Linked DNA regions of Sus scrofa. The protein of the gene in region 1 interacts with the protein of each later gene in a pairwise test. Links are inferred from orthologs where the notes say so. Each region holds a gene or a part of one and is shown in the gene's direction. Other genes may lie near its edges.

The links.
Region 2: the proteins of PCBD1 (region 1) and HNF1A interact in binary tests that used the Homo sapiens proteins (3 or more experiments, as listed by UniProt). The link is inferred for Sus scrofa from reciprocal best matches to the Homo sapiens genes PCBD1 and HNF1A.
Region 3: the proteins of PCBD1 (region 1) and HNF1B interact in binary tests that used the Homo sapiens proteins (3 or more experiments, as listed by UniProt). The link is inferred for Sus scrofa from reciprocal best matches to the Homo sapiens genes PCBD1 and HNF1B.

The regions. Positions count from the first base shown.
Region 1 is NC_010456.5:73,803,129-73,810,241, reverse strand, and holds the start of PCBD1 (pterin-4-alpha-carbinolamine dehydratase), read left to right. Parts: upstream 1-2,994; 5' UTR 2,995-3,079; coding exon 3,080-3,082; intron 3,083-5,885; coding exon 5,886-6,017; intron 6,018-7,113. UniProt on the Homo sapiens protein: Involved in tetrahydrobiopterin biosynthesis. Seems to both prevent the formation of 7-pterins and accelerate the formation of quinonoid-BH2. Coactivator for HNF1A-dependent transcription.
Region 2 is NC_010456.5:40,866,222-40,873,318, forward strand, and holds the start of HNF1A (hepatocyte nuclear factor 1-alpha), read left to right. Parts: upstream 1-2,597; 5' UTR 2,598-2,744; coding exon 2,745-3,070; intron 3,071-3,568; exon of another isoform or gene 3,569-4,067; intron 4,068-7,097. UniProt on the Homo sapiens protein: Transcriptional activator that regulates the tissue specific expression of multiple genes, especially in pancreatic islet cells and in liver. Binds to the inverted palindrome 5'-GTTAATNATTAAC-3'.
Region 3 is NC_010454.4:39,197,525-39,204,779, reverse strand, and holds the start of HNF1B (hepatocyte nuclear factor 1-beta), read left to right. Parts: upstream 1-3,178; 5' UTR 3,179-3,599; coding exon 3,600-3,943; intron 3,944-7,255. UniProt on the Homo sapiens protein: Transcription factor that binds to the inverted palindrome 5'-GTTAATNATTAAC-3'. Binds to the FPC element in the cAMP regulatory unit of the PLAU gene. Transcriptional activity is increased by coactivator PCBD1.

The DNA.
Region 1 (7,113 bases):
GTGATAGACGACTATTGCTAGATTCATGGTGGGGGACTGGAGGTGGGCCTTTGCCCTGGGTGCTGGAGCTTTCTCAGAGTTCCTGCCTACCCCTACCCCCACCCCCACAGCAGCCAGACTGCCTCATATCTGTAGCTGGACTTGTGCCTGCGTGTTCTGCTCCTCTGCAGAGGTAGCTAACCTCTGGCAGTTGTTGGCCTCTAGTAGTTTTGGTGTAGGATCCGGGGCCCAGAACTGTTATCTGCCCCTCTCCCAGCATAGAGGGATTTTTTTTTCCCCTCCTACCAGAAATGAAGCCACAATGTGTCTTTATCTGGGCCCTGAGAGTGACAGAATTTGTTGGCTTTCTCCTAGTGATTTAAGCCTTCTGCTCCTTTAAGACAAGGGTCTGGAGAGGTCTGAGCCTTTGGCCCTTTTCACACAGCAACAACCAATCCCCTGCTTAGCTGAGGTGGGGATTTGCTTCCATCTATTGCCCTTCCCCTGTCTTTCTCCTGGCTCTCAGTGGAGATCCATAATTAAAAGCTGTGCCTGTGTGCTAACTCTCCCCGTGTCTCAGGTCCCCAACTCTTCCACACACCTGGCTTCCAACAGCAAAAATTGTTAAAATTTTATCTGATTTCTTCTTACCCACTTTTATAGAGGCTGTGTGTCCTCCCTCTCCTGCCCACACCTGGCACAGGTGAGCTCGCCTATGCGTCCAGCCTCCCTTGGAATTCAGACTACTTGGCTGTCCTGAGACCTCAGCTCCCTGGCAAGCTAAAGAAAAGTGATGAATTTGTATTATTCTCATTGTCGATGTAAGAGTTTCCAGCTTCCTACACCCTAGCGAGCTGAAGCCCAAATCCTCTCTGTCTTTGAAACCTCTTCTCCCACCTTCTCCCCACCAAGGTTCCCAAGCTAATGCTACCTGTCTGAGGTTAGTCTTAATACTCCACTTCCAGGTACCAGTTTTTATTTAGAAATTTATTTGTTCTGTTGTCTATCGCTGCAGAACAAACAATCTCAAAACTGGGTGGCTTGAAATGTCCTATTATTTCTCATGGTTCCATGAGTTGCCTTGTTTCTGCCAGGCAGTGTTCTCACTTGGGATCTCACATGAGACTGCAGTCAGATGTCTGCTGGGGCTGAAGTCATCTGAAGGTCTGGGCGGCTAGGAAGCCTCACTCCTGTGACTGATGGATGATTAGCAGAAGCCATAAGGCAGGAATCCTGGAAGTCAAGGTTCACTCAAGGGCCATCTTTGAAGGCTAGCCTACATCCTGCTTCAAGTTGCATGTAAAAGGGGACCTTTCATACTACCGTCTTAAGTTTTCCCAACTGTAAAGTTAGCAGAAGGAAAAGGGACTATATTTTTGTGGCAGGGGTGGGCGGGACTTGCCAAGTAAACCTTCAAAAGCACAAATTTCTAGGGGAAAAAATATAAATCTTACCACACCAAAATATAAGATTTCTTTTTTAAATTACTCAATGAATTTTATTACATTTATAGTTGCACAATAATCATCACAACCCAATTTTGTGGCATTTCCCAAAGTATAAGATTTCTGCCAACAAAGGATATCCTGGAAGATGACAGGGTACAGATGGCTGAATGGGAAGATATTTGCAATATCTGAACCGACAAGCAGTTAATGTCTAGATAGCTCCCAAAAACCAACTTAAAAAGACCACTCTAAATTCTGTAAAATAAAACGAAAAACTATTAAATATAGAAGAAAACACAGGAGAAGAATCTTTGTGACCTAGGATTAGGCAACGATTCCTAGTTACAACACCAAAATACCAATCCATAAAAGAAAGAGTTGATAAATTGGGTGTCATCAAAATCAAGAACATTCGCCTTTTGAGAGACATTGTGGAAATGCAAACGAAATATGCCAAATCACATATCTGATAAAGTGCTTGTATTCAGAATGAAGAACTCTCAAAATGCAATAAGAAAACAAACTATTACTTTTAATGGGCAGGAAATTTGAACAGGCAATTCACCAATGACTGACCATTGGCAAATAAGCACATGAAAAGATATTTAATATCATTAGTCATTAAGGCAACTGAAAACCACCAGTGAGATACTACTGTGCACCAATTAGAATGGCTAAATAATAAAAAGATTGGCTTAGGAGTATTCCCTCTAGGTGAAGGTGAAGCTGCACTGTCATATGCCACTGGTGGCAGTGGAAAATAGTCCTGCTACTTTGAGAAGCAGTTTGGCAGTTTCCTAACAACTTATAAGCATATACCTGTTCTATGACCTAGCCATTCCATTCCCAGGTATTTCCCCAAGAAAAATTAAAGCATATATCCAAAGACTTGCAGGCAAACTTTCCTAGCAGCTTTATTTGTACTAATCAAAAACTGGAAACAACCCAAAGTCCAACAAATTGTAGTATATCCATTACAATATAATACTGTAAAATAATTTCTACTTAGTTATCAAAGGGAAAACTATTGATATATGCATCGACATGGGTAAACCTCAAAGTAATTACGCTGAGTGAAAGGAGGCAGATCTAAAAAGAGGGTAACCCATATGATTTCCATTTACATAGCCTTCCAGAAAACGCAATCTAATCTATAGTAAAGGCAGCAGGTCAATAGATCTCTGAGGAGGGAGGAGGCAATTTAGGGCTTGTGGTCATGTCCTCGTCATCGTGGTGATGGTTGCAAGGATGCATACATATGCCAAAAGGCATCACATTGTACACTTTAAATACGGGCAGTGTATTGTGTGGGTTTATTCCTCAGTAAGACGTTTTTCTAAAAAAGAAAAAGCAATCTGGCGTCGAGGGTCACACAGCTGGTAAGGGGCAGTGCGCGATGCATAAACCCAAGTCTGCGTTAGGAGCCCACGCGTCCTTAACCTCTGACCTCGCTGCAAGCTTGGCAATGAGGAAAGTCCTGGAAGGGAGCCGCAGCTGGAGTTAATGATTACGGGTGGGCGGCCCCTGCCCGGCCTCGCTCCCGCCCCGGGCGGCCCGAGCGCTGCCCCGCCCGACGGCTTCCCGGTGCGCCGGGCTTCGCGCTCTTCCGCTCCGCTACCACCTGCTGATCGCCCGCGTCTGCGCCGCCCGGCATGGTGAGGGGCGGCCGGGTTAGGAGGGGGGTGCGGCGGAGAGGAAGGGGCCCGCCGAGGCCGGCCCAGGGGACCCGGCCAGGAGCGGGGGGGCGGTCCCTCCCAGCTCCTTGCACAGCAGCCGCGCCGGCCTGGGGGAATCGGGGTCTCTGTCCCGCCGGTACCCCACCCCGCCAGTGGTCCCCTGGGGGAAAGCTGAGGTCGGAAGCGGGGCGGTGGCAGGTCTGGGTGACGGCGAGGCGGGAGCCCAGGCTTTCCCCGGCTCCCTGGCCATCTGTGCCTGAGGCCTCAAGGCCGCGCAGGCCCTGCTTAGAGAGCTCTCCCGGTGGGGGTGGGGCAGTGAGACGGGCAGCGGGGAGGGGACGTAGTGAGCCTGCAGACGTAGCCCTCCTTGGTGGCATGATTCTGTTCTACACTGGGGGCTAGGGTAGGGACCGGGTGGTCGGGGGTGGGGGGAAGCCTTGTGAGTGTGCAAAGGGGGCGGGGCGACTGAATTTGCATGTGCCTCTGCCTGCCTGTTTACTGCCCTTCTCTCTTGCACTTCTGCTCAGCCCTGTGTGCTGCCCCCAACCTGAGAGCCAGCCCCCCCGGGGGGGCACCTAGTTTGAGGCCTGTGCCCAGCCACGGGTGACATGATTGCTCAGAGTCATCCACCGTCTGCCCTGAGCTTTCCCTGAGGGGAGCCTTAGGCCCTGTGCTCAGATGTGGCCTGGGAGGATAGGCCAGCCTGCACAGCAGGAAGCTTTACTAAGCAGTCAAAGCATTAGGCCCCAAAGCCTTAGGAGCGACTAGGGCTGTGATGAGGCCTGGGAGGGCATTTTGAAGGCTATGACTTGGGTGGAGGGGAGGTGGTGAGTGAGCCCATTGTGAGGTGCACTGAGGCCCCAAAACTGTAGGCTGCAGGTAATCAGTAACACCCACAGCCTCCCTGGGCCCAGGCTGAGGCCAGGGCTGACCTGTGACTTACTAAGCAAACACACCCCTGCCCCCTCTCTGATCCCAGATCTCAGAGGGGCTCCTCAGTTCAGCCCCAGGCTGTGAAATGTGGGGGGGGGGTTCCCGAAGATTCTAAAGAGGAAGGGGAGCCTCCTAGGAGCTCCTCTAGTGCACATGTCCTCCTTTCAGAGCCAGAGAACTAGAGGCTGGAAACACGGACCAGGTTTATCAGCCACTGAGACAGGGCCGGCTCTGGAACAGAGACGGGTTTGGGCGGTGATGCAGGACTCCACTGCCCTCGCTGGCCTTCTGGAGCCCAGGAGAGGAGACAGACCAAGCCGGGGTTGTCCAGAGGGAATGTGCGCTTTCAGGAGGGAGAACAGGTTGAGTTATAAGAGCCCAGTTCTACCCCAAACCTAAAGGCCTGTCACAAGCCTACTTGCCCCCAGGAAGTCTCCTTTTAAAAAGGCAGATGACATCGGGAGTTCCTGTCATGGCACAGCAGAAACAAATCTAACTAGCAACCATGAGGACTCAGGTTTGATCCCTGGCCTTGCTCAGTGGGTTAAGATCGGGCATTGCCAAGAGCTGTAGTGTAGGTCACAGACACGGCTCCGATCCTGTGTTGTGTGGCTGTGGTGTAGGCCAGCAGCTACAGCTCTGATTAGACCCCTAGCCTGGGAACCTCCATATGCCGTGGGTGCGGCCCTAAAAAGACAAAAACAAAAGGGAGATGTCATTCCTTTAGTAACAGTGGAGTGTCCTAAAGTGCCCCTTGGCTTCTCTTGCTGATCACTGAAGTGGCAGTTCTTGTGCCCTTTTTCAGCTGTTGAGCCAGGGGAGATGACCGCCTCAAGCCCACCTGGCTTCCAGTCTTCCAGGACCGCCTCATAAAAGCCAGATTAACCTTCCTCAAGTGCTCTCCCCAGGCCTTACTGACTCACTTCTCATTTAGCACTTACACTTTCCACCCTCAGGTAGTTCTACTTTAGGGGCCTCAATACTGGGATCCCTTAAGCGCCTCCACCTGGATCTTCTTAGAGGTGGAAACTGACCTTTGCTTGCTTCTGTTCTCTGAGGGTTCCACTCACGGCCTGAACTGCGCCAGTTTGGGCAGCGTGCACAGCGGGTGATAGGCTGGGGCACTGGCCTTGCCCTTTGCCCTTGGCCAAGTTACATCTGCTTTGGGGGCTGAGCTCTGTGGCTCTGGCTTCCTGAGGTGACACAATAGAAAAGAAGGTGAGAATCTGAGAAACGTAGGCCCAGAAGCTGGGAACCAGAGGCTGCGTGGGAGCACGGTGCAGTACGCACTGGGAGGTGCTGCCGGGGGTCGTGGACTCTGGTGTGACTAAGAATTGCCTGGAACATGTCTTAAGCCTGGGTCCCTTTGCCTGGCCCCAGGCATGCAGACGGAGAGACCCGCCTTGAGAACGAGGCCTGTGCTTTCACTGATGGAGGCTGGGGAGCGGGGAGAAGGGTGGCCTTCTCCCCTCTCTAGGCCCGTTTCCTCTTCAATACAGAGTGAGTAAGGTCTTGATTTGCTTTTACTCCCCTATTAACGATAGAGACCTAGTTTTTGTTTGGTTTGGTTTTTATGGAGGGCCACCCTCTGTAAGGCTTCGGGGGCAGATGGAGGAGGCGTGTTTCTCTGGCCCAATGATTTGCATCACACCTCAGGACCGTCTGTTCTCTAAGAACCTATCCGTGCTCGAGCCAGAGCCCCACCTCCCAGTCTGTTGCTTTAGACCAGCTGCCCTTTGACTGCGTCACTGTCACTGGAGGCTGGCTGAATGTCCCCAAAGGTCCAGGGCCCTCTCTGTTGTCCTGTTCAAACAAATGCCCGTGGGCCTGTGTGTTTTCCCTCTCCTAGGCTGGCAAAGCGCACAGGCTAAGTGCGGAGGAGAGGGACCAGCTGCTGCCAAACCTGCGGGCCGTGGGGTGGAACGAGCTGGAAGGCCGGGATGCCATCTTCAAGCAGTTTCATTTCAAAGACTTCAATAGGGTATGGCGCCAGGGTGGGACGGAGTGTTCTGAGCGGATGGGGGTCACACTCTGGACGTGTTCCCTCCCCGAAAGTCCTGTTAGTCGTGACTCTCAGACGCTACACCAATCCAGTTTCCAGTTTATTTGGAAAGCGTCATGCTCGGGAAGCAGAGGGTGGGGAGACGGGTCTTGGGCTCTCCACACCTGGAACTTTTGTTTTACGTTGTGTTGAAGTATAGTTGATGTACAAGGTTGTGATCATTTCTGCTGTACAGCAACGTGATTCAGTTCTACGTGTACGCACAGCCATTCTCGTTCCGTTTCTTTCCCCACATAGATTATCACCAAGTATTGGGTAGAGTTCTCTGTGCTGCACAGCAGGTCCCTGCTGGTCAGTCATTCCGTATGCCTCAGTGTGCATATGCCAATCCCCAACGCCCAGGCCATCCTCCCTCCCCCCCACCCCATCCCCTTTGGTAACTGCAAGGTTTTGAAAGTCTGAGAGTCTATTTCTGTTCTGCAAAGAAGTTCATTTGTAAACCTTTTTTCCATTTTTTTAATTACTCAAGTGAATTTATCACATCTGTAGTTGTATATTGATCATAACAATCTGATTTCACAGGATTTCCATCCCACAGCCCAGGCACATCCCCCCACCCCCCAAACTGTCTCCTCCGGAGACCATAAGTTTTTCAATGTGAGTCAGCATCTGTTCTGTAAAGAAGTTCAGTCTGTCCTTTTTTCAGATTCCACATGTCAGTGAAAGCATTTGATGTTGGTGTCTCATTGTATGGCTGACTTCACTTAGCATGATAGTTTCTAGGTCCATCCATGTTGCAAAAAATGCTGGTATTTCATTCTTTTTAATGGCTGAGTAATATTCCATTGTGTATATATGTACCACATCTTCTTGATCCACTCCTCTGTCAATGGACTTTTTTTTTTTTTTTTTTTTTTTTGCTTTTTAGGACAATACCTGCAGCATATGGAGGTTTCCAGGCTACAGGTCAAATCAGAGCTGTAGCCACTGGCCTACGCCACAGCCATGCCAGATCCAAGCCATATCTGCGACCTACACCACAACTCATGGCAATGCTGGATCCTTAACCCACTGA
Region 2 (7,097 bases), about 33 Mb from region 1:
TAATTTAAAAGTTTCTGGTGGTACCATTATAAAAGTAAACAGGAACAGGTCAAATTCTTTTTTTCTGATTTTTAATTTAAAATTTTCAAAAATTTAGTTTTCAAATGAAAAATTTTCACCCAATAGGGACTTTCCCTGTGACTCAGAGCATGGCTACTTGGTGCTGTTTCTGCAGTGGCTCTGGTTCAATCCCTGGCCCAGGAACTTATGTGTGCCGAGGGTGTGGCCCCATGTTTAAAACATTTTTTTTTTCACCCAATAGATTCAAAATATTATCATTTCAGCCAGAGGCATAAGCCACATTTCAAGTCCTCAGTGGCTTCACAGGCCTCATAATTGCCGAGCTTGTTAGGTGGGTGCAAAAATGAAGACTTGATCAGCCCTCTTTCCCTTCGCTGGCCTGGCCTGCAGGGCGGGGTTTCTGGCCATGCATGACCCCTGAGAGACGACCCTGCCGGGGGTGGGGGGGCAGCCCCTCAGCACCACCCTGTCTACTCCAGGCAATGGCCTGCACCCCTGGTTCTGAGAGCTTAGGGCCACCTCAGGGGAGAGACGGCAGGAATTTGTGTCCAGGCTCCAACCTGAGGAGGGAAGAGGTGGGTGGGGGTGTGTGATTGAGTTTCTGGCCAGGGCTGGGATCAGTGGGAGGTGAGTGGATGTTGTAACTTACCTTTACTTAAAAAACTGTGATGCTTCTTTTGTTCATCACAGATTTTTTGCATTAATGAAAACATACAATTTATTGATTTGTATATCATAAAATTTGCCATTTGAAAGTGCATGGTTAGGAGTTCCCGCTTAGGCTGTGACTGCGGCTCTGGGATCTGATCCCTGGCTTGGACACTCCATATGCTGAGGGGCAGCCAAAAATGAAAATAAAAAAAATAAAAATAAAAATAAAGTGCAAGGTTCACTGGTTTTTAGTATATTCAAAGTTGTGTAACATCACCCAATCGATATCAGAACACTTCCATCACCCCCAAAGAAACCCCGCACCCATTAAGCAGAATTCCCTGTCTGCTGACCTCAGCCCCTGGCAATCACTAATTTACTTTCTGTCTGTATGGATATGCCTATTCTGGACATTTCCTATAAATGGAATCATACACATCTTTTGTGTCTGGACTTTTTTACTTAGCATGTTTTCTAGATTCACCCCTATCATTGCATGAATCAGGACTTTAATTCTTCCTTCCTTCCTTCCTTCCTTCCTTCCTTCCTTTCTTCCTTTCTTCCTTTCTTTCTTTCTTTCTTTCTTTCCAGGGATCAAACCTTCATCACAACAGCAACCCAAGCTGCTGCAGTGACAACACTAGATACTTAACCCACTGTGCCACAAGGGAACTCTAGGACTTCAATCCTTTTCAATGGTGAAATAATATGCCACTGCACAGATAGACCACATTTCTTCTATCTATTCATTAGCTGATGGATAGTTATGTTTTCTCCATCTTTTGGCTATTTTGAATAACACTGTTGTGAACATTCATGTGTAAGTTTTAGTGTGGACTTTTGAATCCTTGGGTTTTACCTTAATTTTGTTGTTGTTTTTGGCTTTTGGGGGCCACACTCGCAGCACATGGAGGTTCCCAGGCTAGGGGTCTAATCGGAGCTGTTGCTGCCAGCCTGTGCCACAGCCACAGCAACGCCAGATCCGAGCCATGTCTGCGATCTACACCACAGCTCACGGCAACGCCGGATCCTTAACCCACTGAGCAAGGCCAGAGATCGAACCCGCAACCTCATGGTTCCTAGTCAGATTCGTTTCCACTGCACCACGATGAGAACTCCAGTTTTGCCTTAATTTTGAATGTTTACTATATTGTTTTAAAATATTTTTTTATCTTGATTTGCTGGGTTTTCTGGTGTTCCCTTAAAATTTGCGCCTGCGCCAACTGCTTGACTGGTCTCACCCTACTCCTACTCCTTAACTCTTGTCCCTTCTGGCTGTGTGACTTTGGGCAAGTTGCTCACCCTCTCAGAGCCTCCGTTTCCTCCTCTGAGAAATGGGCACAATCCCCATACCTGCTCACAGCTGTTAGGGGCCTGCACTGGGGTAGTGACACACATTACAGACCCAGCCCATGGCACTTAAGTCAACATATTTTTCTTCCTGGGGGGCCTGGCGCGGGGGCTGGCAGGAGAAGGTGGGAGGGATCACATGGATGTGATCAGCCTGCCCTTGAGGAGGGCTGGTCCACTGGCCTAGAACTCCCTGCTGCTTCTGTTCCCAAGGGAAACCTGCTGTTTTTGCTCTCCTGCCTCAGCCTGATCCCTATGAGGTCCTTGGGGGCAGGACAGATGCTGGTCACCCAGAGGCCTCCCTGGCTCCCCACACTTCCGTCTCAGCTGCCCCGGGCCCCCCACCACCACCTCCCCCACCCTCCGCTCTGCCCATTCCCGTTGAAGGCCACAGCTCTCTGTCCCTCTGCGCTGCCATGAGGCCTGCATTTTGCAGGGTGAAGTCCAAAGTTCAGTCCCTTCGCTAAGCACACGGATAAATATGAACCTTGGAGAATTTCCCCAGCTCCAATGTAAACAGAGCGGGCAGGGGCCCTGATTCACTGGCCACTGGGGCCAGGGTTGGGGGTTGGGGGTGCCCACAGGGCTTGGCTAGTGGGGTTTTGGGGGGCAGCAGGTGTAAGGAGCCTGGTTGGGGCCTGCCTGCTGGCCGGCCAGCCCACGCGGTGGGGGAGGCGGCGGCTCGCAGTCCTGGGGCCGCGTGGCCCAGCGCTAGTGGAGCCATGGTCTCCAAGCTGAGCCAGCTCCAGACGGAGCTCCTGGCGGCCCTGCTCGAGTCGGGCCTGAGCAAAGAGGCGCTGATCCAGGCGTTGGGTGAGCCAGGGCCCTACCTTCTGGCCGGAGATGGTGCCCTGGACAAGGGGGAGTCCTGCGGTGGTGCACGAGGAGAACTTGCGGAGCTGCCCAATGGGCTGGGGGAGACGAGGGGCTCCGAGGACGAGACGGACGACGATGGGGAAGACTTCACACCACCCATCCTCAAAGAGCTGGAGAACCTCAGCCCAGAGGAGGCGGCGCACCAGAAAGCTGTGGTGGAGACCCTTCTGCAGTAAGGACCCCTGCCCTGTCCCAGCTCCCAAGGAGCCCAGTGGGTCTACCCTCAGCTCCTGACCAGCCCTTCCCAGTCTAGAGTCCCGTGAGTGGTGGCTTTTAGCATGATTGTTGGGAAGGGGGACAGGGCCCACGAGAGCTTGGAAGGGGGTGGGGTGGGGATCCTGGCTTGGAGGTTGGAGGCTTCCGTCCCCTTCCCTGCTCTCGGCAGGGTCCTGAGTCCCCATGAGCTAAGGCGTTCCGCCCGGATCATGCTGCAGGGGAGCTCTGAGACAGGGACAGAGCAGGAGAGTCCATGATTCAAGGGCCCGGACAAATGTGGGGAGAGGGGTTATTTTTAGCCATCATGACCATTTCTATTCCCCAAACCCTAACTCCCCTGCTAGGCACCAGGACGCAGCACTGGGGAGGGGGAGCCCAGGATAGGGTTTTTGGGGGCTCCCCTGGCCTCCCCAGAACTCAAGCATTCAGCCAGGAGAGCTGGGGTCTTTCTTACCTGAGGGAAACAGATTCTTCAGGGCGGGAAGTGCTCCCCTTTCCAGCACAGCCTCAGGCCCCTACCTCACCAGGGGCCTCCCTGCTCTGCACGCCCACCCCCTGGCTGGCTCCCCAGCTCCCAGAGATCTCAGTGGGTCTGAGCCCAATGCCTCCCCTCTCCTCAGCAGAGCTGACCTGGTTACTAATTACCCACAGGCTTTATTATTTCTCTTTTGTTTTATAAATTTATAAATGGCAAAAGGCTCTGATAAGGCCTGTGATCATTAACTTGTAGGGCTGGTGGCCTGGGGCAGCCTGAGCCAACCGACTTCCCACCCAGCAGGGGTGGGGGATGGGGAGGCTAGAGGTGAGGGAAGGGGGGCCTGGGGGCTGCAGGGACGGCCCCTCCTCTAAGGCTCTGTAACCTCCACCCCAAGGGCTGGGCAGAAGCCCTGTGGAGGTTTCTCATGTGTAATTTCAGGCAGTGTTGAGATGAACTCCGGAGGAAGCCAGGGATCACTGCTTCACAGACCAGGGGAACTGAGGCTCAGAGCGGGGAAGTAGCTTGACTAAGGCCACCCACCTCAGACTCCACCCCACCCTCTTTGATGCCCTCAATGGCTGTGCCGGGGGGCAAGGGGCCAGCTGAGGGGGTGGCTGAGGGGTCTGAGAAAGAGTCCCAGGGGCCATCTCTTTTCTGTCCAAGGTCCTGATCCCAGCTTGGGGTGGGGGAGGGCTGGATCCCCACCTCAAGGGGCCCTCTGGGTCTGCCAGGCCTTGTGTAGGCCCGGGCAGGGGGCAGGGGAGCAGCCAGGGCCCCCTGACTTGGCAGGAAGACGAGGGCAAAGGGCCCTGTCGGCTGCAGGGGAGGGGCAAAAAGTCAGGCATCAGCCGACCCAGGGTGGAGCTGGGCCAGACCTGCTCAGGGCCCCAGATGGGATGAGGGGCTTTCGGTGGGGAGTGGGGGCAGGGGGTGCCAAAGGCCTTACCTGGCTGGGTGGGGCCTCTTGGTCAGCAGCCCCTTTGGTGAGACGGTGGGTGGGGGGAAGTCTTGATCCACAGGTCCTGAGTGGGGAGCAGGGGTCAAAGTGCTCCCTGGGGACCAGCAGAGACCTGGAAGCTGAGGGAGAGGGGACACCTGGAGGAAGAGATGGAGAGAGAGACCTGGAGAAGCAGCATGGAGCGAAGAGCCAGGAGGGGAGAGGGGCTCACAGGCAGCTGGGAGAAGGGGCTGGGGAGAGAGCGAGGTGCCCCAAGCTGTGAGGAGGCTGGAGTGCTTCCCTCCCACCCCATCGGGTTTTCTTTAATGCTAACAGCATGCTATTTACTTTCCATTTAAATTTGAGATGTTGCTATAAATTATCAACCAGCTCCTTGTTCCTGTGGAGTTTATAACTAACTACCTGGGTTACTTATTGTTCAGGTAACAAAAGGGACCTGAAAACGCCCTGAGGGGGGAAAGTGGGGCCTCAAGCCTCAGGGCATAGGCTGGAGAAGGGTGGGCAACCCCCCATGAAGACCTGGGCAGAGAGAGAGGTTGAGGCTGGAAAGGATGGTGAAGAGGCAGAACTTCCCCTGGAAGCCAAGTGTGACTAAGTGTGACCTTGGGCAAGTCTCTTCTTCTCCTTCTGCCTCCATTTCCCTTCCTGGACAATGAGTAAAATTCCAACTCCCTGCCCTGGTTCCCTGCCCTCTTCCTAAGGGACCTCTCTCCCTCTCTCCCTCCCTTCCCTCCAGTTACACTACACTGACTTTGCTGATCCCCACCTCAGGGCCTTTGCACATGCTGTGCCTTCTGCCTGGAGCCCTCTTTCCAGCTCTTCTCAGGGCCAACTCCTTCTTCTCTTTCTGCTCAAATAGCACCTCCTCAGGGAGGCCCTCCCTGACCACCCTTCTGAAATTAAGTCCCCCCCAGTCACTCCCTCCTCCACCGCTTTCATTGACTTTCTCCTGAAACTTAATCATTATTTAGGATAAGTTTAAATGATAAAATAAATAAAAAGATCATTATTTATCTTCTTTGTTTTTCATCTCCTGCCATGACAACAGAAGCTCTTTCAGAGCCCTGTTCACCAATCATACATCTGATATCCAGCCCTGTGGCTGACATGGGGCATGAATGAATGCATGACTAGGTTTCCCTGAGGCTCTGGGGACATCTGCTGCTATGGCCAAGGGAGGAACCTGTACCCAGGGCCTCCAGTCCTTGAGTAGCTCAAACCCTAATCTTGAAGGTCTCTGACACTCTCTATTGCGCAGTGACAAGGCATTGAGACCCAGGAAGACAGTGGCCAAGGGGGGACAATCTGACACCCCTGATGAGGCCAGCCTGCCTGGGCTCAAACCTTAGCTCTGCCCATTCTAGCTCAGGCAGATGATTTCATTTTTCTGAACCCCAGTGTTCTCTGCAAGGTGGCGCTGATGATAACGCTTATGTATGGGGTTATAACACCTAAGAGCAGCAAATGGTTGCTGTGGCCGGTGATCCCATTTTACAGATGAGCTAAGTGAGGCTCAGAGAGACCTGCCCAAGATAACTTCTGCAAAGCAGTAAGGCCAGGACTTGGACCTAGGTCCCTGAGGTTGCGTGCTGGTCTTTGATACTTTCATCTCCCTCTTTACCCTGTCAGTCTTGCTGGGAACATGACAATCACCTCACTTCCATGCAGTGCTCTGGGGCTTACACAGGGCTTACAAAGGCATAAACTCCTTTCTCCTCCTGACAACCTAGGAAATGTTATTAGCCCCATATCAGAGTTGAGGAAACTGAGGCACACAGAAGTTAAGCAACTTCCCAGGGCCACCCGGAGATTGAGTGGCTGACCTGAAATTCACCCTGAGAACTTGGGCCCCCTCCAGAGGAGTGGCCCTTTGGGCTGGTCTCTCAGCTCCGCAGCTTTGGACCCACTGAAACCCCGTGGGCTAGTGAGCAAAAGGCCCCAAGACTTGAACCTCTGATTGACCCCAGAACAGGGGAGGAAGGAGATGTGGACAGATCTTCCCCTCTCCTGGGCCCTCTTCTCTCTGCTGGGGGGACCAGGGGTTCAGGACCACATGGCTGATGAGAGTGATAACCTTACTTTTCCACTTACTGAGCACATATTCTGTGCCAGGCGCTAGCCTCAGCGTTTCACTCCTATTAGAAACGCATTCAGTGCTCCCAACAGCACTGGCGGGCAGGCATGGATTTATGGCCACGTTACAGGGGAGGAGTTGGGGGGTGCACGCACCAGGTTCGAGGTCGCAGTGGCGGGATCCGAACCCAGATTAGTTTCACTCTCAATCTATTAGAGTGAAAGCATGAGATGCCTGGAGACCTGGCCTCTTAGCTCTGAGTTGGGGAAACTGTCCTGAAAAAAAGCCAGGTTCTTCGAGACTCTGTGTGTGTGTGCCCATGTCTGTCTGTCTGTCTGTCGTGTGTATGTCTGTGTGTTGGGGGGTGGGTAGGAGAAAGAGCAGAAAATAGAGAGGCAGAGACAGAAGGAGAGAGTGAGAGAAATAAAGATAGACATAGACACATGGGGTCAGATGGACTGGGACAGGTAGTA
Region 3 (7,255 bases), on another chromosome or scaffold:
GTGGTTAACGAATCCGACTAGGAACCATGAGGTTGCAGGTTCGATCCCAGCCCTTGCTCAATGGGTTAACGATCCGGCGTTGCCGTGACCTGTGGTGTAGGTTGCAGACTTGGCTCAGATCCCACACTGCTGTGGCTCTGGTGTAGGCCGGTGACTACAGCTCTGATTCGACCCCTAACCTGGGAACCTCCATATGCTGTGGGAGCGGCCCTAGAAAAGGCAAAAAGACAAAAAACAAAGCAAAACAAAAAAAAACACAATATTATCATTTTCCAGCTAAGGAAACTGAGGATCCGAAAGATTATATATAACGTGCCCAAGATGCACAGCTGGTTAGCAGATCAGAGAACTCAGATTTAGGTCTGTTTGACTCCAGTATCTGCCCTCTATGCTCTGCTCCGAAATCACAGCAGACTTCCCCCTTTAAAGTTCCCATCTCCCAAAGCAGTAGGACAAGCTTTTCCTCTTTCATCCTAAAGCCCTGCTCAAAAGTCTGGAGCCCCAATCTCAGCCCTTCCATTAACTTATTACAGTAACTCCAAGCCACTTCCTCAAAATGCCCTGTATCTTATTTCTCCATCTTTAAGGGGCTCTTCCTGGGATAGATCATGATGGGAAAGATATAAAAAAGAATGTATATATATGTATAACTGAGTCACTTTGCTATACAGCCAGAAATGGCCTAACACTGTAAATCAGCTATACTTTAATGTAAAAATATTTAATACTAAAATGGGGCCATCATAGCAGCCCATCACTACTAGATCCCGTGGGAAGCAAAAACAAGAGTATTCCAGCTATACTCTGGCTTCCTCAATTTGGGGAAAGCTTAACCAAAGGGTTTTAGAACCCGTTTGGTTCGCGTTTGTGACCCACATCCTGAAGGTCTGTCTGTTGAGATATTTATACTTTTCTTTTTAAATTTCCATTGGAAAGGGTTGATACTGGATCCGCTCAAGATCTATAGTTGCAGTTACTTGGCGACCCATATTGATCAGAAGGTACAGACAAGGTAGATCTGGGCAGGAGGGTTCCAGGAAGTTGGTGGGTGTGAATGGTCAGATTACCTGGACACGCATAGGAAGTTTCCCCGTATTCTGTGCAACTTCCTGTATGTTCACAGAGTTGGCTGGGGGTAGGGGGAAGAACGGGTTTGCTGACACCTGAATTTTGAGAGATAAGGAAGCTTGAGAATCCGACTGGGCGGCACATGGTAGTCGGAACTGCAAATCAAAGCTTTGTTGTTAAAAGGGAAGTGATGGCTGGCTTTTTAATGGGTTTTTCCCAGCTAAACACAGAAACCGATCTTCATGACACTTGACTGCTTCTATCATGATAGCAAATGAGAGACAAAGAGTTTGTTCTCCGGGGACATTTACTCCGAACACTTCATTATCCCAGTTGAGGGGAGCTAGGTGGGCAGAAAATGTTCTCTCATTGGGCCGAATGGTGAGGGCAAGGGACTGCCATATGTCACAATAAACTAGAAGACAATAAGGTCAAAAGAAGGGCCATCGTCATTTTGACCCCTTTCCCAGGAAAGACACTGAGATGGTGTAAACCTCCCCCAGAGCTCCAAGCACACAACCACCCGTTTTTCGTGGGTGGCCCAGCGTGTGTTGAAAACCCTGGATGTAAGAGGCAGCCTCGATGCTCAGCAGCCTGACTTGGATCAGCCACCTCTGGAGGTTCAGCCCTCAGCCAGCAAAGGGATTTGATCCTGAGCTGCTGGCCCTCCCCACCCCCACCCCCACCCATGCTGAAATTCCCCTCTTCCTCCTAATCGTCTTTTAAAGGTGGGAAAGGAAGGTGAATTTGCTTGGAAGCTCCTTCACAAATTCCCTGTTCTTTCTGAAAGGTTGTCTTTAATCTCCTGGTCGCCAACCCCAGCACTGGAGCTGCCTGATTCTGAGAACCCTAAGCCTCCAGAGGGGCTAGCTTTTTACTACCGGGAACAGGCTTCCTGCCTTCCCAGAAGGAAAAGTTTGAACACCATCACCAGACGACAGGGTCTCACAGGTGTTCTCATTCAAGGTATACGACACCCAGGACCCCCCCCCCCCACTTGAGTATCAGTATTTCACAGATGATGAACCTCAGGCGTGGTGGGAGAGGGGGCCGGTAAGGGAGTGTCCTCTGCCCTAGGAACTATAGGCCTGTGAGCGACCCATGCTAAAAAGCCCCTTCCCCTCTTCTTCTGCAGATCTGGGCCAGCCTGGAGGGTCTGGGTGTGCCTCCCGCATCCTTCTTTCACCCTGACGCCTCAGGGCGGTGCAGGTGAAACTCCGATAGCGTTGAAAGGTTCTCAGCTTCCTTCCTGGGCCAGGCAGGAGTGGAAAAAAACCTCCTTTCCCTCAGTGGTTTTGTGGGCACCTTCCCAACTTGGCATGGAAGACGGCTGCCGGCTGCTGTGACCTCGAGTCTGCAGAGCGCCATCCCTGACCCCAGGAACCGCTGTGTCCTGGATCTGCAGAAAAAAAGCAGAAATCAGTAGGCCCGGAGGACAGGCGGCTCCAACTATCCATCTAACTGCAGGCCGAGCTTTGCTTTCACTGCCAGAAAGGAGGCCCTGCGATACTAGTTTTGCCGCCAAAGCCGAGGTGCTTGGATATTCTGGGTGTAAGCCAGAGGGCCCAGTGGCTCAGGCGTCCAGCTCCCCGGCGGCTTGGCTAGGCTGGGTGCGGTGCAGCCCGGGGCTCGGGGAGCTCAATTTTGGCTACTCCCTCTGGCCATAAATTAGTCGGTGCCTCCTCCCCGCTTGCTCCGGGGCCAGCAGTTCTGCAAATCTAAACAGCCAGACCCGGCTGGTGAGAGCCTGGGGTCCGCAGAGCGGTAACTCAGGTAGAGCTTACGTGGAGCCCCTGCGATCCACAACCTAACACGCCCCCCTTCCCCCGGGTCTCCGCGTCCGTCCCCCTGCGGTCAGTTTCTCCTCCGCGCGCGGTTGACTTTCCCGGCCCACGGCCTGCGTCGCTCGGGGAGGCTCGGAGGATCTCTGCTCTCCGCATTCTCCTCCATCTCCTTCTTCCAAGAGCACCCCAACTTCCTCTAGCTCTCACCTGAACCCCGAAGCACAGTTTCTTCTCTGCGGACTAAAGGCGGACTCGCAGCTTGGTGGAAAAGTCCCGGAGCCTTCCACACTAGGCTGCAAACGACTTGTTTAACAAGTCCAAAGTTCAGCTAAAGTCTGGCTGCTAAACACAACCGGTGCAAGAAGGCCTTCAGCCCCCCGGGGTGAGTACAATGGACCCTGGCAGCCCCGCTCCCGGCCGGGTCTCCAGCTCTCCAGGTCTGCCTCTCGGGTTCTCCCTCATTCGGTTTTCCCCCCTCCCCACGCCATTTGCATCTTGCCGAAAGCCAGGCCCTCCCCACTAATTTGCATATCTTATATGGCCTAATGGTGGCGATCATGGCAAGTTAGAAGTTTTCTGACTCCTCTCGGAGGAGACTCCGGGACCCCGGGGAGTAACAGGTGTCTGGAGGCTAAAGGGTGGAGGGGGTTCCTGGACTTGGGGTTCGCCTGTGAAACTCCCCTCCACCCTCCTCACCGGCACCCACCCACCCACCCCCTCACCCCCTTCTTTTTCTGTCCTTGGAAAATGGTGTCCAAGCTCACGTCGCTCCAACAAGAACTCCTGAGCGCCCTGCTGAGCTCCGGGGTCACCAAGGAGGTGCTGGTCCAGGCCTTGGAGGAGTTGCTGCCATCCCCGAGTTTCGGGGTGAAGCTGGAGACGCTGCCCCTGTCCCCTGGGAGCGGGACTGAGCCGGACACCAAGCCGGTCTTCCACACTCTCACCAACGGCCACGCCAAGGGCCGCTTGTCCGGGGACGAGGGCTCCGAGGACGGGGACGACTATGACACCCCTCCGATCCTCAAGGAGCTGCAAGCGCTCAACACCGAGGAGGCGGCGGAGCAGCGGGCGGAGGTGGACCGGATGCTCAGGTAGGCGCGGACCCAGGTGCGGAGTGTGCGCCCGAGTCCCTTGAGCCCTGGGCCTTGTGCCTGAACGACACTGCGCCCGACCACTCTTGCCAAGCCTGTTTCCCACCAGAGAAGTCCCCCGGGGGGCGCTCCGCTTCTCTCGCAACACCTGGACCCCTCCCAGTCCTTCAACCGGACGACCCGAGCCCCGAGGCTTCATGATCCCCTGCCCAGGCCAGTGCCCGGGACCGGCGGGGCCTCCCGGGCGGGCTGGGGCTCGGCCTGGGAGAACCCGAGCTGTGGAGCCCTTTGCCCGGAGGTTTGCCCATGCCGCTGAAGGTGCGAGTAGGTGCAGTGAAATCGCAGCGATTCTCAGGGCCCGCCTCAGCCCCAGGCCAAGCATTTCTCCTTGGTGCCTCTTGTGTGGTCCGGGAAGACAGAGGCTGGCTTCAGGCACAGCGTCCTGCCACTCTTTGCAGAGGGCCAGGGGGCACACAGGCCGGGGTCCTGGGGGGCGAGTTCTCTGGCAGGCACTCCCATCTGCAGCGCCCGAGTCAGGCCCCAGGATTACCCGGAATCCCCAAAGCCGGTTTAGATTTGCGAAAGGAAATGTGTGTGCACGTTGCGGGGTCAGAGTGGACCTGCAAGGGGCAAAAGAAACCACGTTTCAAAGCAGAGAGAGGGGTAAATGCGGCTAAGACCCCAGTTCGCAGCGGATTTGGTCGGAGAAAAGAGGGCGTATCCGGATCTCGCCGCCGACACCCCGGCGTCCCCGGGGAATCCAGGCAGGCTGGCCGGTGGTCTATCTCCTGGTCGCGGGACGTTTGCTAAGCCTTCCCGACCGGCCTAGGCCTTTGACAGCTGGTTACTAATTATCCAAGGAGCCGAGCGATTCCCTAAGACCGCACATCCCTCCCGGCCCCTCCGCTTGAGGACCGAGTCCCTCGCTTGGCCTCAGACGCTTCAGCGCCGCGGTCTCAAGGCAGGGCCAGCAGCAAAGTCGTGCCCGGGCAGCCTCAGTCGCTCGCCGGTAGTGGCAGTTTGGGATGGGATATGACCTTGCATTTGAATTTGCTACCTGGGGACCTGGCAGCTTACTCTTCAGCAAAAACAGTCAGGGGAATTTCTAGATTTTTTTTCTAATTTCCCAAAAGTATTTTGCTGCCGTTCGTAGGTTTGAGGTTCCTCCCTCGCGGTTTCCCCCCGTAGCGGCGGTTTCTCCTGTGCCGGATTAGGGTGCAGGAAGGTGAGAGGGGTCAGAAGAGGGGCGGCTGGGGCACCAGAGGGGCGGGGAGGGTGACCGAGGCCCCGCAGCCCCGCCGACCTCTCGCCGCCCGCCACCCAGGCCCCTGGGGCCTAGGCCCATCGCCAGGCCGCAGGCGCCCGCTTCCCAGAGGGGTTTTGGAAGGACCTGGGAGGCCCGGAGGCGACCTGGGGCGCCCCTCGCCACCCAGCCCCGGGCCGGGCTGGACGCGGCAGAGATGTAATATAAACTGCAGCACGTGGAGTTAGGGTGTTATTAATTTATTTCTATAAATCATCAACAGAAAGATACACAAAAAGTCGTGATTAGGTTGAACAGAGAGGCGGGTTATTCATTGGTGAAGTTGTAAACGCGGCTTCGAGGGGGAAGGAAAGAAGGACGCGGGGCTCCTCGCGGCTCCGGGCGCACAAGCACCGCGTTGCGGAACCCTCCAGGCCGAGCCCCGCGCCCGACACTGCAGGCCCCGGCGGGCGGAGAGCCAGGCCCAGCCCCGGGTCCTGGACCCCAGCGCTTTTCGCGGCGCAGAGACGCCGGCTGCTGGGGGCAGGAGCGAGGCTGGGGGGCCCGGGACCGCCGCTGGGGGCGGCTGGGGGGAATTTCAGGACAGACCCCTTTCCCCAGCGGGTGCTGCCTTCCCTTCCGCACCTTCGGGAGTGGGCGACTTGATTAAAGTAATTTTTCAAGAAATCGCTGGCGGTCCCCTGGGTCAACGCACAGTCGGCTTCCAAGGTCCAGATGCACGCACACCCTTTTTTGGCCCACCCTGCTCCCCTAAGGTGGAAAGAAAACACGGGGCAAGTCACTTTGGGGAGCGCCCAGCCGCTCTTTCCATCTCCTAGAAGAGAAAGCGAGAAAGGAAGGTCGCGGGTAATGTGGTGCCCGTCGCGGCCCTGGCCCTAAGCTAGCGTTCGGTGGCGGCTTTTGGAAAGTCGGTTGCTCCCCCGAGAAGCCAGCTGAGGTTTCTTAAGAAGCGTGGCGATCTGAGCCGGGTACAGGGCTTCTCTGTTCGTGGGCGGCCGAGGCATTGTTTGGGAAGGAGCGTCCTGGGCCGGCCGGACGCCGGGGTCCGGCGCTTGACACCTGCTCCGGCAGCACAATACCGGCTCGCGCTTCTCCCGATCTGTTTATCAGGGTTGAGGACCTGTAATCGCCGGCTGTATTTTCAAATTTAAAAAACGAACTACCTCCGGGCTCTTGAATCCGTGAGAATTCTGTGATCAGAGCTGTAAAGGTGTAACTACGCCATCTTACCCCCAACTCTAGTCCCTTAATGCGGACTGAAATATTTGATGTTGTTTATAGGGTTTTCCTGGGCTTTTTTTTTTTTTTTTTTTTTTTTAACCTTCCCAGTGGTTAAGCTAATTCACTCTTTTTTTTACGGAATCCTTCACTGTTAGATACACTATTTTGTTAGGCTTCTTAGACGCACCAAATGAACACAAGCAAAGAAATTTAAACAAAACCAGAAAACTCAATCTGTCAAAGTAGCATGAACTTTTAAAATCCAAATCCTTTTGTTAACTTTCGGAGCTATCGTTCACATCCGTTGAAAGTGTTTTTCTACCTAAAAATATCTGTGGACATATTCACCAGAAATAAGGTTTTAAATGAATGCTGATATTTACACGAGTATGTTCAAAATGTTACATTAGTTTCCTCTTACTCAAGGTGAATTTTCCATGTTTGAAACCGGGACACAATTCCTCATTTTTTGTTCCTGTTGTTACTTTATTTTGTTGTATTACTTGGAAGTACCTTTAGAAATACTTGAGAAATATGCTAAGCTATATAAAATTAAACTTAAAAGTTTGCATTTCTCAAAAACATCTCTGTCAAAGCCTGTTTTCATGAATTTAATATCAGACTTGCTAGAATGATCATGACTTTTCAAATGCTTACAAAAACCTCAGTTTAATTGCTAGATTTTTAAAAATTCATTAAACAAAATTATTTCTTTGTCATATAGACATCGTTTAAAAATAAATCAGTTATTTCATATGCAACCCTGTATCTGTTTTGGCTTCTGCTTTATAGCATTTTTTATTGTTACCTCTGAAAGCAATTTTTCT